2 linked regions of the Rhinolophus ferrumequinum genome follow. The protein of the gene in region 2 interacts with the protein of the main gene of each other region in a pairwise test. Links are inferred from orthologs where the notes say so. Each region holds a gene or a part of one and is shown on either strand. Other genes may lie near its edges.

Region 1 (7,221 bases), on a different chromosome or scaffold from region 2:
TGCCCAGTGAAGTTGGTGGAGTTGGTGGCAGGGCCAGGAAAGAGCCTGGCAATCCCTGCTTTGACAGTTTCCCCTGACAGTTTTCCCATACTGCCTCTGAGAGACTGCAGCGAGGGGTGTGGGGGAGTGTTGTGGCCTGGGACCGAGATAAGTCTCCTGCCTCAACATCCAGCGCCCTGAGGAATGACAGTCCCAGGGAGCCCCTCTTCTGGGCCAGGGACATCTAGGGGCCACGTGCTCTGCTCCCTCACCCCAGCCCCTGCGTGTTTACTCCTAAGCCTCCCCATCCAGTCCCGTGCTGCCAGGGAGAAGCCTCACCAGCCAGCCTTGCGGGGTTTCTCAGCTCCCAGAGGCCTCTAGGCTTCCAGGAGAGCCTGAACTAGGCCTTAGAGCATGGGAGTGCCCTCCCTGTCCTCCCGGGCAGGGTATGGAGGTGTGGGGTCAGACCCGCAGGAGCACCTCCACCACCACCAGCATTGTGGCTGATAACTCCTGGGGTGGGGTGAAGGCTGTAGGATACACCTGGCCTCAGCCCAGTGGGGACGAAGGAGGCGACAGTGATGGTCAGAGGGCTAGTGTCTCAGGCTCTCACTGGGGTCTGTCCTTGTGGAGGGGAGTGGAAAGATAGGAGGGGTTGTGACAAAACGGAGGGGCATAGGATCTGGGGGGGAGGCTCCAGGATACCTGAGAAGCTCATCAGTCTTGCCCTTGCCCCGTGTTAACACCCACTCCCCCCCCACCCCAAATGTCCAGGTCCTGGGGCAGAGAGCAGGAGGAAGAACAAAAGGGAAGGAAGGCTGGTGGGACCTGGGGCTGGTAGGAAGGATCTGAGCCAGCACCGGGCCAGGGCTGGGCTGGGCTGGGCTGGGCTGGGTGCCAGTCCACACAGAGTGGGGTCAGGTGAAGTGTGGCACGGGGTGATCAGCAGGCGAGGCCTCCTCACATTAACTGCGAGGCTCCCTCTGAGCTCTGAGCACTTTGGCAAACACCTCCCCCATCCCAGTCCCGGCCCTTCAAAGAGTCAGGAATGGGACACTAGAGGGGTACAGTGAGAGAAAGAAAACCTTGCCAGAGCAGCCCTCAGTGTTCAGTTCCTTTCTCTGTAGGCCCCCATTCCTGGGGAGTTGGGGTGATACCCCAGAAGCTGGATCTTAGACACATCCCATATAAGCTCTCACTGGCAAATGACAAGGTGGGGGTGGGCACAGAGAACCTCCAAGGTCCATCCCGGGGACTCTGCCTCATTTCCTTTTGGTGACCCCTGGGTGTGTCCTATGCATCCTGAGGCCTGGTGGGCAGCCGAGCTTGCACACAGCTGAGAGCTGCCCTCCAGGGAGGCTGTCTGGCCCACTGCGGACTCCACGACCCACCCACCGTGTGCTCGTGCAGTTGTTCGCACATGGGATCTGCGTGTCCAGAGGGCTGATGTCTTCGAGCTCTTGAAATCCCCTCTTAGCTTTTCCACCCCCCCACCCCCCACCCCCCCCACCCCGCGAGGGGCCGAAATAGCTGCCCCTTCCTCAGGAAGCTTCCTCCAGCTCCCCAAGAGTGCCTCTTGCTCTTTTTCCCCCAAAATCTGTTTCTAAGTTGGAATCAGGGCATATCAATATGGAGCTGGGTAGATCCCAGGCTTGGGGGAGGCAGAAGGGAGACAGTGTGGGGGAGAAAGAGGAGCCAGAGACGGGGAGACAGGCGTGCGCTTCATCTGTCCTTTCCATGAGGTCTCACACCATCTTCAAATAAGACTGGCCTGCTCTGTCCTAGATTTGACCGCTTCTCTCTGCCACGGACACGGGTTGGAGGTGAGTGTAGTCTGGGTCCCCTCTGCCACCACCCCCAGGGCCCAGCACGTGTGGGAAGTAAGTACAGATCTGTAGCTACAATCAGTTAACGGCTTAAGGGCTTGGGGACACTACTGTGTAGGAATGGTGTGTGCACCTGTCTGTGGGTGTGTGAACAACACTGTCACTGTGTACGTGGGTTCCTCCAGGCCATGCGGTGCCTGCATGACCCCTGAGCCAAAGACATGTGGCCTTTCCTCCCCAGGTGGTGGGTTCAGGGTGGGGCCTTGTCTCCTGTAGCTTCTCCCCTTCCCTCCACGAATTCAGTAGGGATGTATCCTCGGGGACTGCTTGCTCCTCCGTTCACCTGTGCCTCACCTGGAAGCTCCCTGCTGGCCCACTCCCTAAGGTCAGGAAGGGCCTGCTGGGAAAACTGGACCTCAGCCTCTGTTCCTTCTGTCCTCTATTTTCTCGTCCTTTGCACTGTTCTTCCAAGAGGCTTGAATTCTTTCAAGGGGTTGAGCTGGAAAGAGGGCTCTGCTCCTCTTTGTCCCCCTTCTGGGCTGAGCCTCAGTTTTCCCTTCTCTAAAATGGGGAGCCCCCACTGAAGCTCCCCTTTGAAAGGCTGTTAAAATGTGTATCCATAACGGTGGCGGGTGGCTGGGGTCATTGATGAGGAAGGCATGACTGGCGGAGCTTGGAGTTCTGAGGCCAGGAGAGGAGGGGGACAGAGGTACCCTCCTTCTGCATGTGGTTCCTAGTTTTTGGTGAGTCCGGCACCCAGAGCCAGGCAGGGCTCAGCCAGGGTTTCGCCCACCCAAGGCACCCCTGGCTGAACGCATCCCGCCGGCCGCGGCCCCATTCGCAGCTGGGGAGGTGGCGCCGGAGCTCGGACCCTGGCCGAGCCCGCTCCTGCCCGGAGCCGCTGCCACCCTCCCTCCCCCGGGCCCGGCGGGGCTGGGGCGACACCTACCTCACCAGGATGGCCACCCCCACGTCCTCGCAGTTGGCATAGAGCCGGGCCCACGTAGCCTGCACCGCCTTCCTCTCCGCCTCGGACAGCTCCTCGCTCCGCTCCCTGCGCTCAATCTCCATCTCGCCCGGCACTTTCTCCATGAGCAGCACCAAGCCCAGCCCGGCTTCGCTCGGCGGCGGCGGAGAGCGGAGCGCTGGGCGCCGGGAGCCGGGGCGGCTGCGTGTGCGGCGGGCGGGCGGGCGGGCGGGAGGGCGAGGGGTAGAGCGCGCCGGAGGGAGGGAGCGTGTCTGTCTGTGTGCGCCGGGTGTGTGTTTGTGTGTGTGTGTGTGTGCGCGCCTGTCTGCGCGCAGGATATATGTGCAGGGGGCGGGGGACCGCGAGCGGGGGGCGGGGATGTGGTCTGATGGAAAAATGTTAAAAAAAACAAATCCGCTCCAAACCCCCAACCCGGTGTCCGTGAGCCAATTCCTGCAAGGTGAAGGCAGGGCAGGGTGGGGACAACGCGGCTGGCGCTAGCCCGCCCGCCCGCAAGGACCCCACGGAGTTTGACCGCGGGGCGGGGCTGGGGCGTGGGTGTGGCGGCTGTGCTGGGGGGTCCCGGGAGGAGGGGCGGTCACGCGGCGCGGGGCGGTGCGGGTCGCACAGGAGTGCACCCAGCTGGGTGCAAGTCTGGGGGCACCGCGTCTCGGTTCACGCTGCGAGCGATATTGGGACGCGCGTGTGTGTGTGTGCACCCTTCACGCGGCGGGGAACTGACTCAAAGTCATAACAGTCCCAGGCATTAGCGGTGTGGCCGCCGGCCGGAGCGGGTATACGCGAGCCCCTCTGGCGGCGCGGCGGTCGGAGCTGAGCTCCCGCTGGCTCCTGGCCTCTCCTGAACCAGCCGCTGGGTGTTGCGGCGCCTCTCCCGGAGTTCCGGACCCCTGGAAGGTTAGGACTGGGTCGTCTCCCTGCTGGAGTCTCCCCGCTCCAGTACCTTAGTGGAATCCACCGCTGCGGGATGGGGCACCGCTTTCAAACTTGGGCGCCAGAGGCCTGCGCTCCCTTTCCTTCCGACCAGCACCCCCAGCCCTTTGGTGCACACCCTCGGCGTGGGAAAGAAGTCCCTGGGTGTCTAAGTAATGACACAGGCCGGCAACAACCAGGCGCTGCCCGGAATTCTGGGACCGGGGGAGCGCAGTCCGGAGAGACAGCAGGGCTGGGCAAAACAGACCTGGGAGGGCCAGGAAGTGTTGGGGAGGCCCAGGCCACTGGAGACAGCTCAGCCACCAAGGCCCCTGTTAGGGAGGGGGTCTTGTCTTGGTGGCTCCTCTCTGGGAGATGTAAATATACTATTGGATCAGAGGTGGGGACCGCACTTCTGAGAGCCACCGGTTCCCACTCTGCAAGCAGGTGCTCAGTCCTGGGACAGCCAGGCCCCACCTCTGACTCCCAGGGGAAGCCTGATGCCAGGTCCCGCTGCAGCGTCTGAAACAGTGGCACACTGCAGGTATGTCCACCTCTCCCTAGGGCTTCCTTGCTCAAGCCTTTGTGTCCCACTGCTCAAATATCGCAAGAGGTTGGCTCTTCTCTTCAGCTTTGGTTTATGTGTTTACTTAAAAATCCATATTTCAGAATCGAGATGCCAGGCGCAGGCAGTCCCAGCTCTGGCCCTCCTTGGGGCTCAGGATTCAGGTGCCTTACTGGAATCCTGGGCTGGTGGCCTCTTGACACTACCTCCATCTTGGCCGAGGGAAGGAAAATCTAGCCTTCTTTTGGGGCCTTGGAGGGGGATGGAGGAGAGAGGGTGGGTTCAGTTCCTTGCATCACTCTCAGACCCAGGTCCTCACTTTGGTCCCCCTTGCCATTGCCTCGGTGCCTCGGTGCCTCGGTGCTCTGCCTGGGCTGAGTCTGAGCATTGCCCCGGGCCACCTCTCTAAACTCCTCTGATAGTTTCCCAAAACCTGGGAGGTGGCCTTCCACATGGCTGCCCAAGAAGTTCCACCAGGACGTGCAAGTAGAAGAAATCTTTTCTCTATTTATTTCTATTTCATCCTTTACAAGTTCTACATATGTCTATGGGACAGGGTTGTATTTGCACAGTAGCATAGTATATATGTATAAGCCGATGCTTCGATCTACTTCGTGAGTGCACACTGAAATTCTGCCTCTTACTGAGGAGGGGAGTTGATCAGAAACGTTTGGAGAGGGCTGACCAGAGGGAAGCACTGAACCACTTAGCCAGCCCCTCACTCCCTGGCTCCCTTGTCTTCCTGGCTTCACTATTCCTCCCCTCCTGATGCCTCGCCTGTGACGTCATTGCCCTGCTGCCACTCAACTTCCAGCTGCTGGAACGTGCCCTGCGCTTTGGCTTTTGTGGTCTGCAGCCCTGGCAGAGTCTGTCTGAGGGCCCATCCTTCCTTGAGCAGCTGGCAATGCAGATGCCCCCAACTCCCCTTTGAAGCTTCCCCTGATGCTTGCAAGTCCCAAAGTGTCCTGTAGGTACCTTTAACGGCCTAAATCACTCTACTGTTGTCATTGTTGAACTTGCCAGTGTGTTTGTCTGGACTACACACCCGTCGAGGCCAGGCCCACGTCTCAGTCATATCTACATCCAGAATAGACAGGTCGATTTACCTGGCACTGAGGGACAAGCTGGGCCCAGTGAGGTTAACCGGTCATCTTCGCAAGGTCAGGTATACCGACCCCACTAATCAGCTTGAGCCTCCTAATCCAGCACCAGCAGGAACCTTAGGACACAGCAGTGGCTTGGGGAGCTGGCAGGGCCATCTTGGCCGTCCTCCGCAGACTCCGCCTGGGAGGGGATGGGGCAGATGAGCCATGTGTACCACCCTCTTCCTGCTCAGCACCTTGGCTATGCTCTGTCGCCGACGATTCGCCAACCGGGTCCATCCGTGAGGAACTGACGGGGCCATGGGCTGGGGAGGGGGGAGAAACTGCTTGGCTGGGCTACACAGAGCTGCCTGGCCCTCCAAGGAGGCTGAAGGGATTTGCAAGGAATCCCCAGAGGTGCCCCCTCAGAGTAGGGGACTTGGAGCTCTTCAGAGACACTGGCCAATGTGACTAGGTCCTGCCCAGAAGCAGGAGAGGGAGTCTGGGGTCTGGCCCACAGCTCTTCCTGCCTGTTCTTCCCTCCCGCAGAGAGCCCAGTGGAGTAGATGGGGCAGTTTTGGGCAGCACCTTGGAGACAGACTCCGAGCCCCCAGGCAGGTAAGGCAGAAGAGTCTGGGGTGGAGGAGGGAGAGTGCTGCCATGGAGGCTGCCCGTCCCGTCCCTGTCCACGCCTGGGGGTGTACATGGGTGTGCGCACGCACTCTATTCTGGCACCTGGCCCCCCTGTTTCCTCTTTGCCTGGTGGGCAGGCTCAATGTCTGTTTTCGCCAGTTGGGGATGGGAGCTCCCAGCCTCTCCTGTGGACCAGAGCTGCTTTGCTTTGCTTTGCTTGTCCGAGAGTGCAGGGTGGTCCCCAGAGTCCTTTCTGCAGAAGGCTTTGGGGGAGTGGAGAGAGGGATGAGGCAGAAGCAGCTCTGCATGGCTTTGCTTGCCTTCCCTTCCCCCTCCCTCTCCCACTGCCTCCTCCCAGCCTCAGAGACTCCACTGCCTGAATGATTGGCTGTCCAGTCCCCAATAGAAGGCGCAGGAGCAGCATGACATCATCAGCACTGAGTGTCATTGGCTGGGCAGCCCCTGCGGGCAGGACGCTGTCTCCGGTGGCCAGAAAGTTAACTCTTCCCTAGGCTGGTCATGTGGCCTGCACAAGGGGTAAAGTTTGGGGAACTTCCGGACTTTTCCTTCCCTGGGTGATCAGCGTCCTTTGATGATAGGGGCTCCTATGCCCAAGAAAACATTAAAAAATCAACCAGCATTTATTAAGAACATACTGTTGGAAATGTCTTTTGTGCCTATGGACCCACCTAGTGTGGGAGACCTCTCTGAAGAATGACATTCTCACCTGCAGAAGCGGCTATTAGCCCCTAGCTTCTCTCCCTCCTGGTGAAACAAAAAGCATAATGCTCATAGATTCCAGGGCCCTTGGAAGGAGGGTGTCTCCCCAAAGGGTTCGAATGGCTGACACAGCATGCATGCGTGTCTGTGCACCCCCATGTCTCTTTCAGGCTGTGGAACCTGCCTGTAAAGTGCCCCTGAGATGAGTGGAGACCGGCAAGCTGAGAAAACTTGAGTCTTTCTCTATGTCTTGGTCCCTGATTTTCCCAGGTCCCAAATGTCAGAAGGCCCACCCGGAATTCCTAGGCATGGGTGGGAAACAAAGACGTTTCTGTGAAACCCTCCCCGACATCTAGGGTAGCTGATCTAATTACTACTACTGATGAAATGGGTGGACATAAACAAAATGACCATCACTGGGCTTCATGCACAGGAGGCTGGCAAGTGCTGACTGGTCCTCACTGTTGAGTTGGGGTCTGGAATTGGGCAGAGTTTAAATTCTGGCTCTTCTCTTGCCAA
Region 2 (5,541 bases):
TTGTATATGCTATATAATAACGTTTATGCAGATACTCCTTTTTATTTCTCATTGAAAAGGCATTTATTTTGCTCTGAAAAGCAAGAGAAAGAGACGGTACTTTAAACATCAACTGACTATGCTAAGTGGAACCATCAGTTATCTGCTTTTTTGTTTTGTTCTGTTTTTCTTTCTTTCTTTCTTTCTTTCTTTCTTTCTTTCTTTCTTTCTTTCTTTCTTTCTTTCTTTCTTTCTTTCTTTCTTTCTCTCTTTCTCTCTCTCTCTCTTTCTCTCTCTCTCTCTCTCTCTCTCTCTCTCTCTCTCTTTCTTTCTGTTTTTCTGCTTCAAGTTTTTATAAAGACGCAAATAATGAAAGGTATTATTGTAAATTAGTTCCAAAAAATAACTTTGGGGTTATTTACTTGGCCAGTATGAAATCAGCGTCATCTTTCCTATTTTCTGGGTATTTAGGCTATACAATGAGAATTGATTTTCTGAGTGATAGCCCTGAGAACTTGCAGGAGTCTCACTTATCAAAGAAAGTTTCAATTATGTTCCTATATTGTACTTACCAAGGAAGAAATTAAGGGAGTATACTTCACAAAAGCCTCCTTAAGAAAAGTTGCAATAACCTTCAGATACCTAGCTTAGCACACCTAGATAATTCAGAGGACCCATTTCTCAGTGGACTGTGCAATAGAGATTTATGGGATAAGAACATTTTACTTTTAGCAGTATTTATATATACTCCCAATAACCCCCAACTTTATTACATAATCAAAAGAGGTTTTCAATTAAAATTTAGGGGTAAGAGAACTACATATATGACAGTTAACTCACCAATAGTGCTGAGTAAAATAAAAGAATCAAACAGAAAATAAACAGAAGTACTAGACAATCCCAGGAGGCTGTGTTTATCTGTTTAGATTCCAGGCTGCTTTGCAAGAGAGTTTTAAGGCCTGGATGGGTGGCTGGACTAGAGAATCCGAAGGATGTTTGCCAATCCTGACATCGAGTGATCCATGGAATGGTGACAGTTAACTGGCCAGACCTCGAGGCTCTTTGATTTCCATTGAGTGTTCTCAGTAAATGCTAAATTAGTAATAAGCACATAAATGCAAAATGCCACCAAAGTAAAGAATTACAGCAAGGTGATAAAACATACCACATAGAACTTAATTATGTTCAGTACCAAGGAAGGCAATGGAGATACATATACATATATGTATCAAAAATAAACAACAAAACCCTTACTCTACAAAATAATGTCATCACTGTTCAAGAAACCAAAACCCTAGAATTATCGCCCTAATTTATTAAGATTTTAAGAACAAATTGTCCAAATTTGTAGGGGAGAAAAAAAGAGAAACATGGAATGTAAGCCTCACTGGCTTCTTATTGGTTCTGTAGCAGAGTGATTTGCATGTGGCAATCTCAGGAGAAACGATTAAACCATTATTGATCTCTGGTGAACTTACCAGGATGTTAAGAACCACAGAAGAAATGTATTAACTTAATATTTTTGGGTCAAAGTTCCATCTACCTCCAGAGACAGTAAAGAATAGTTCTAAAAAATTCATAATTTTCTATGGGAAAAATACAGTGCTAGATTTTTCTCCCCTAAAATGTTATAAAGTCCTCCATGTTATGAAGTGCTGCCATTCTAGTAACAGGCTCTAAGTCAGGCCTTCCTCTCCTCAGCCTTTATTCCTCCATCCCGACCCATCCCGACATGGCTGACGTCTTGTCACCTTTCTAAGCCCATCTCTTTCAGGAAGCCTTCCCTGAGCAATAGCCTTCACCATCTTCTTCATTTGTTCTCCAGACATTGTTACTTTTTCCCACACTGTGACAGCTTCTGTGGTATTTTTTTAAGTCCCCAATTTGTATGTGTGCTTGTGCACATGTCCTTTTTTAGGCTGTGAACTCTAAGAACACAGCCTACGTTTCACATTACTTGTGTATGTATCCCTAGACCTTAGCACATGCTTCATACATAGTATTTAGTTAACATTTCCAATATAAATGAATAAGAATATGGAAACATTATGATAATTAGACTAATGAGTGGGATATAGTCTGAGACACAAGGGAAACACATGGGAAACAGGAGCCAAAAAAAAAATAAATAAATTCTTTAGGCTGATGCAATATCCTCCTCTAAGTAATGGTGCAGGTATTCTGGCAAAAATTGCAATAAGCGGCGTGGGGGAACCTGGCACGAGATGCTATCTTTTGGTTCATGAGTAGATACACAAGGGAAGATCAAACCAGGGAAGCAAGAGCTCTTTATAATGCAAAATACTTAGTAAAACATAAAGAACTGACACCCAAGGATTTCTACTCAATCATTATTTGCTCTCAAGGACCTCTTTACCCTTTCTCTGTGAGCCTCCACTCTGGAGTATATGGATTGGGGGTACTGTCCTAGGGTCGGGGGCTAGGCATATCCAGCGTCCAGTGTGGCATTCCCACGCATTTCACACAGAATTGATGTCAAATCGGTCTCCTCAAAGTTTCATCTCATTCATCCATCCAAGGTAATGGCCTATTTCTAACCAGTCTCCCATTTTAGAGACCCCCCGTGTTATCCACACACACGCCTTCTTGTACACTCCCCACATCTATGGGTAAATATATCCTGTGCGTTCTATTCAAGAAACACTTTTAGTTTTTGCAGCTTCAGCTTTAATCTTCCTTATAGTTCCATAATATTCTAGCAACAGCTCTCTCTTTGAGCCACTAAGAAAGTGTCTATTTGTCCCTCCTGCCACCATATGTCCTCCATCTGTTGCAAGAAACCTCTTCCTTAAATCAATTAAATAAAATTAAAAAAAAAAATTCACAAATACCTGTATCAAATCTTTTACATTTCCTTTCCTTTCTCTTTACTCTTTTTATTCCCTCCTTTTCTCACAAGTTTTGAGGGGGGAATCTTGCTTACTGCTAATATTTAAATTCCTTAGATTAATATATGACTCTGTAAATTGGCTCCAATCTTTTCTTTCCCAGCTTCATATCCTGCCATTTAAAATCATATACAAATTTCTTCCATTTCATTGACTGTTTCACTTTTCACAAGAAATAATAGGCCTTGTCATTAATTCTTTTTTTTTTTTTTTTTTTTGTATATTCATTTCTTTTTGTCTGGAGTGACTCTCATCGTTTTCCACATGGAAAATGCTCATCCTTCAACATCCTTTTTCCTTTTTAGAGAAATGTCCTTCGTTCTGTTGGTTCCCTTAGTATACTGAACGTGTCTTTGGAAAAGCACTTATCTCCAGTATTCTGATTTACCGATTAACCTTTGATCCCTCCCGAGAATGTGATCTTCAAGGACAGGCACTAAGTCTGACCTACCTCTCACATTAAGCACATAGCATGATTCTTTCTATGTAGGATCCAAGCACTCACTGTTTGGGGAATAAAAGGACGAAGACTACAATGCTCAAATGAACAAAATGTATGTTTACATGTTGTTTAGGAAGAGCTGAAATTTTTTCATATCATGGGTTAAATAGGCTCTGAAGCGCTAACCTGGGAACCCAATGGATTGGAGTAACTTCGTTTCTAGGGGAGTGGACATTCTAAGTTCCAAGCAGCACACATACTAATGAACTTTGGAACACAACATGATACCCCAGGGTTCCACCAGGCTAAGCAGCAGGCACTGAGGCTGGCAAGCAGCCCTCAGACTGGTAAGTGCTGAGCCTCTTGGAAAGGTAAATGAACCTAAATGAAGGCAGCCAGTCGTGAGGAGCAGCTGAGCCAGTAACCGAGACCAGCTCCAGTCAGCCAGTGCACAACAAATGCCCTCTGCCCACCTGGCCCGCCTGGGCCCATGCCATGCTGGTCACTGTGTACTGTGTGCGGAGGGACCTCTCAGAGGTAACCTTCTCCGTCCAAGTCAGCTCTGACTTGGAGCTCCACAATTTTCGTGCTCTCTGTGCGCTCGAGTCCGGCATCCCAGCTGAAGAGATCAAGATCGTCTACATGGAGCGACTCCTCGCTGATGACCACAGTTCCCTGGGCTCCTATGGCCTCAAAGATGGTGATGTAGTTGTTTTACTTCAGACGGAGAATGTGGAACCTCGGACTTCTGGACGGACACCGAGCCTGCCTCGAATAGATTTCAATGGAGTAGCCATGCCTGGGACATCCGGCTCCCGGCAGCAACACCAGCAGCAGCGTCCACAGTCAGCCCAGCAGACCCATGGTTTAGGTTCCGGAGAGAATTTAACATCTGCTCAAGGTATGGACAGCCCCGCCTTGATTCGAAGCATGCTGCTCTCCAATCCCCATGATCTGTCCTTGCTGAAGGAACGCAACCCTGCCTTGGCCGAAGCCCTGCTCAGCGGAAACCTTGAGACATTTTCTCAGGTCCTAATGGATCAGCAAAGGGAAAGGGCCCTGAGGGAGCAAGAGAGGCTTCACCTCTACTCTGCTGACCCATTTGATTTGGAAGCTCAGGCCAAAATAGAAGAAGAAATCCGGCGGCAAAACATTGAGGAAAACATGAATATAGCGATGGAAGAGGCTCCAGAGAGTTTTGGACAAGTGGCCATGCTCTATATCAACTGCAAAGTGAACGGACATCCTATGAAGGCTTTTGTTGACTCAGGTGCCCAGATGACCATTATGAGCCAAGCTTGTGCTGAGAGATGTAATATAACACGGCTGGTAGACCGCAGATGGGCTGGGATTGCTAAAGGAGTGGGCACACAGAGAATTATTGGCCGAGTTCATCTAGCTCAGATTCAAATCGAAGGTGATTTCTTACCATGCTCTTTCTCAATCCTTGAGGAGCAACCCATGGACATGCTTTTAGGGCTAGATATACTCAGGAGACATCAATGTTCCATTGACTTGAAGAAAAACGTGCTGGTGATCGGCACCACTGGCACACAGACTCACTTTCTACCTGAGGGAGAGTTACCCCCATGTGCTAAGCTGGTAAGTGGTACTGGGCTACAAGAGTCTCCAGTCACTGAAGTAGCAGATAATATCAAACATTCGGTCATGGACGCAAGACGAAGAAAACATTGAAATGGGTTACACATAAGTCATCAACTTAAGGGAGTCTCAGGTTCCGGGAAATTTGAAGACATGAGCCCACTGGCAATGTAATCATTAAAAACATCGGTAACAACTAAATCTGGCTTTGGGACCAAGTTCTCATAGCTGTAACCATGTAAATCATAATGGCCTATTCTTGCCCCCTCTTCCATTTCCCTCATCCGTAGTTCACTGAACCTGATCCTGGGAAGGCTCTGGAGGCTCCAACTGATTACCAGGTAATCAATGAACGGAAAAGTTACCTCTTCCTTTAGCGATATCCTCCCATCAGATTACAGGGCGGCTTGTCCAAACTAGTTGTGATTTTGCAGAATTCATTGGAATACACCATCGCAGCAGACCCCACAACCATCGACACAAAACTATTTCGAATCAGCACTAACAATTATTTATATTCAGAGAAATATGTCTGTTGTCAAAAATTTTGTTTTCTTTGAGAAAGTTATTAGAAATGCTGGGTCAATTATACTCTTGAGTTGATCAATA

Evidence for each region. The genes of interacting proteins can lie anywhere in the genome.
Region 1: the proteins of DDI1 (region 2) and CYGB interact in binary tests that used the Homo sapiens proteins (3 or more experiments, as listed by UniProt). The two-hybrid records come from large-scale screens. The link is inferred for Rhinolophus ferrumequinum from reciprocal best matches to the Homo sapiens genes DDI1 and CYGB.

Annotation. Positions count from the first base shown.
Region 1 is NC_046304.1:51,178,108-51,185,328, forward strand, and holds the start of CYGB (cytoglobin), read right to left. Parts: upstream 3,017-7,221; 5' UTR 2,898-3,016; coding exon 2,755-2,897; intron 1-2,754. Other genes in the region: photoreceptor disk component PRCD, read left to right, coding at 5,578-5,651, 5,899-5,971. UniProt on the Homo sapiens protein: Probable multifunctional globin with a hexacoordinated heme iron required for the catalysis of various reactions depending on redox condition of the cell as well as oxygen availability.
Region 2 is NC_046294.1:73,280,576-73,286,116, forward strand, and holds DDI1 (protein DDI1 homolog 1), read left to right. Parts: upstream 1-3,825; coding exon 3,826-5,025; downstream 5,026-5,541. UniProt on the Homo sapiens protein: Probable aspartic protease. Seems to act as a proteasomal shuttle which links the proteasome and replication fork proteins like RTF2. Required, with DDI2, for cellular survival following replication stress.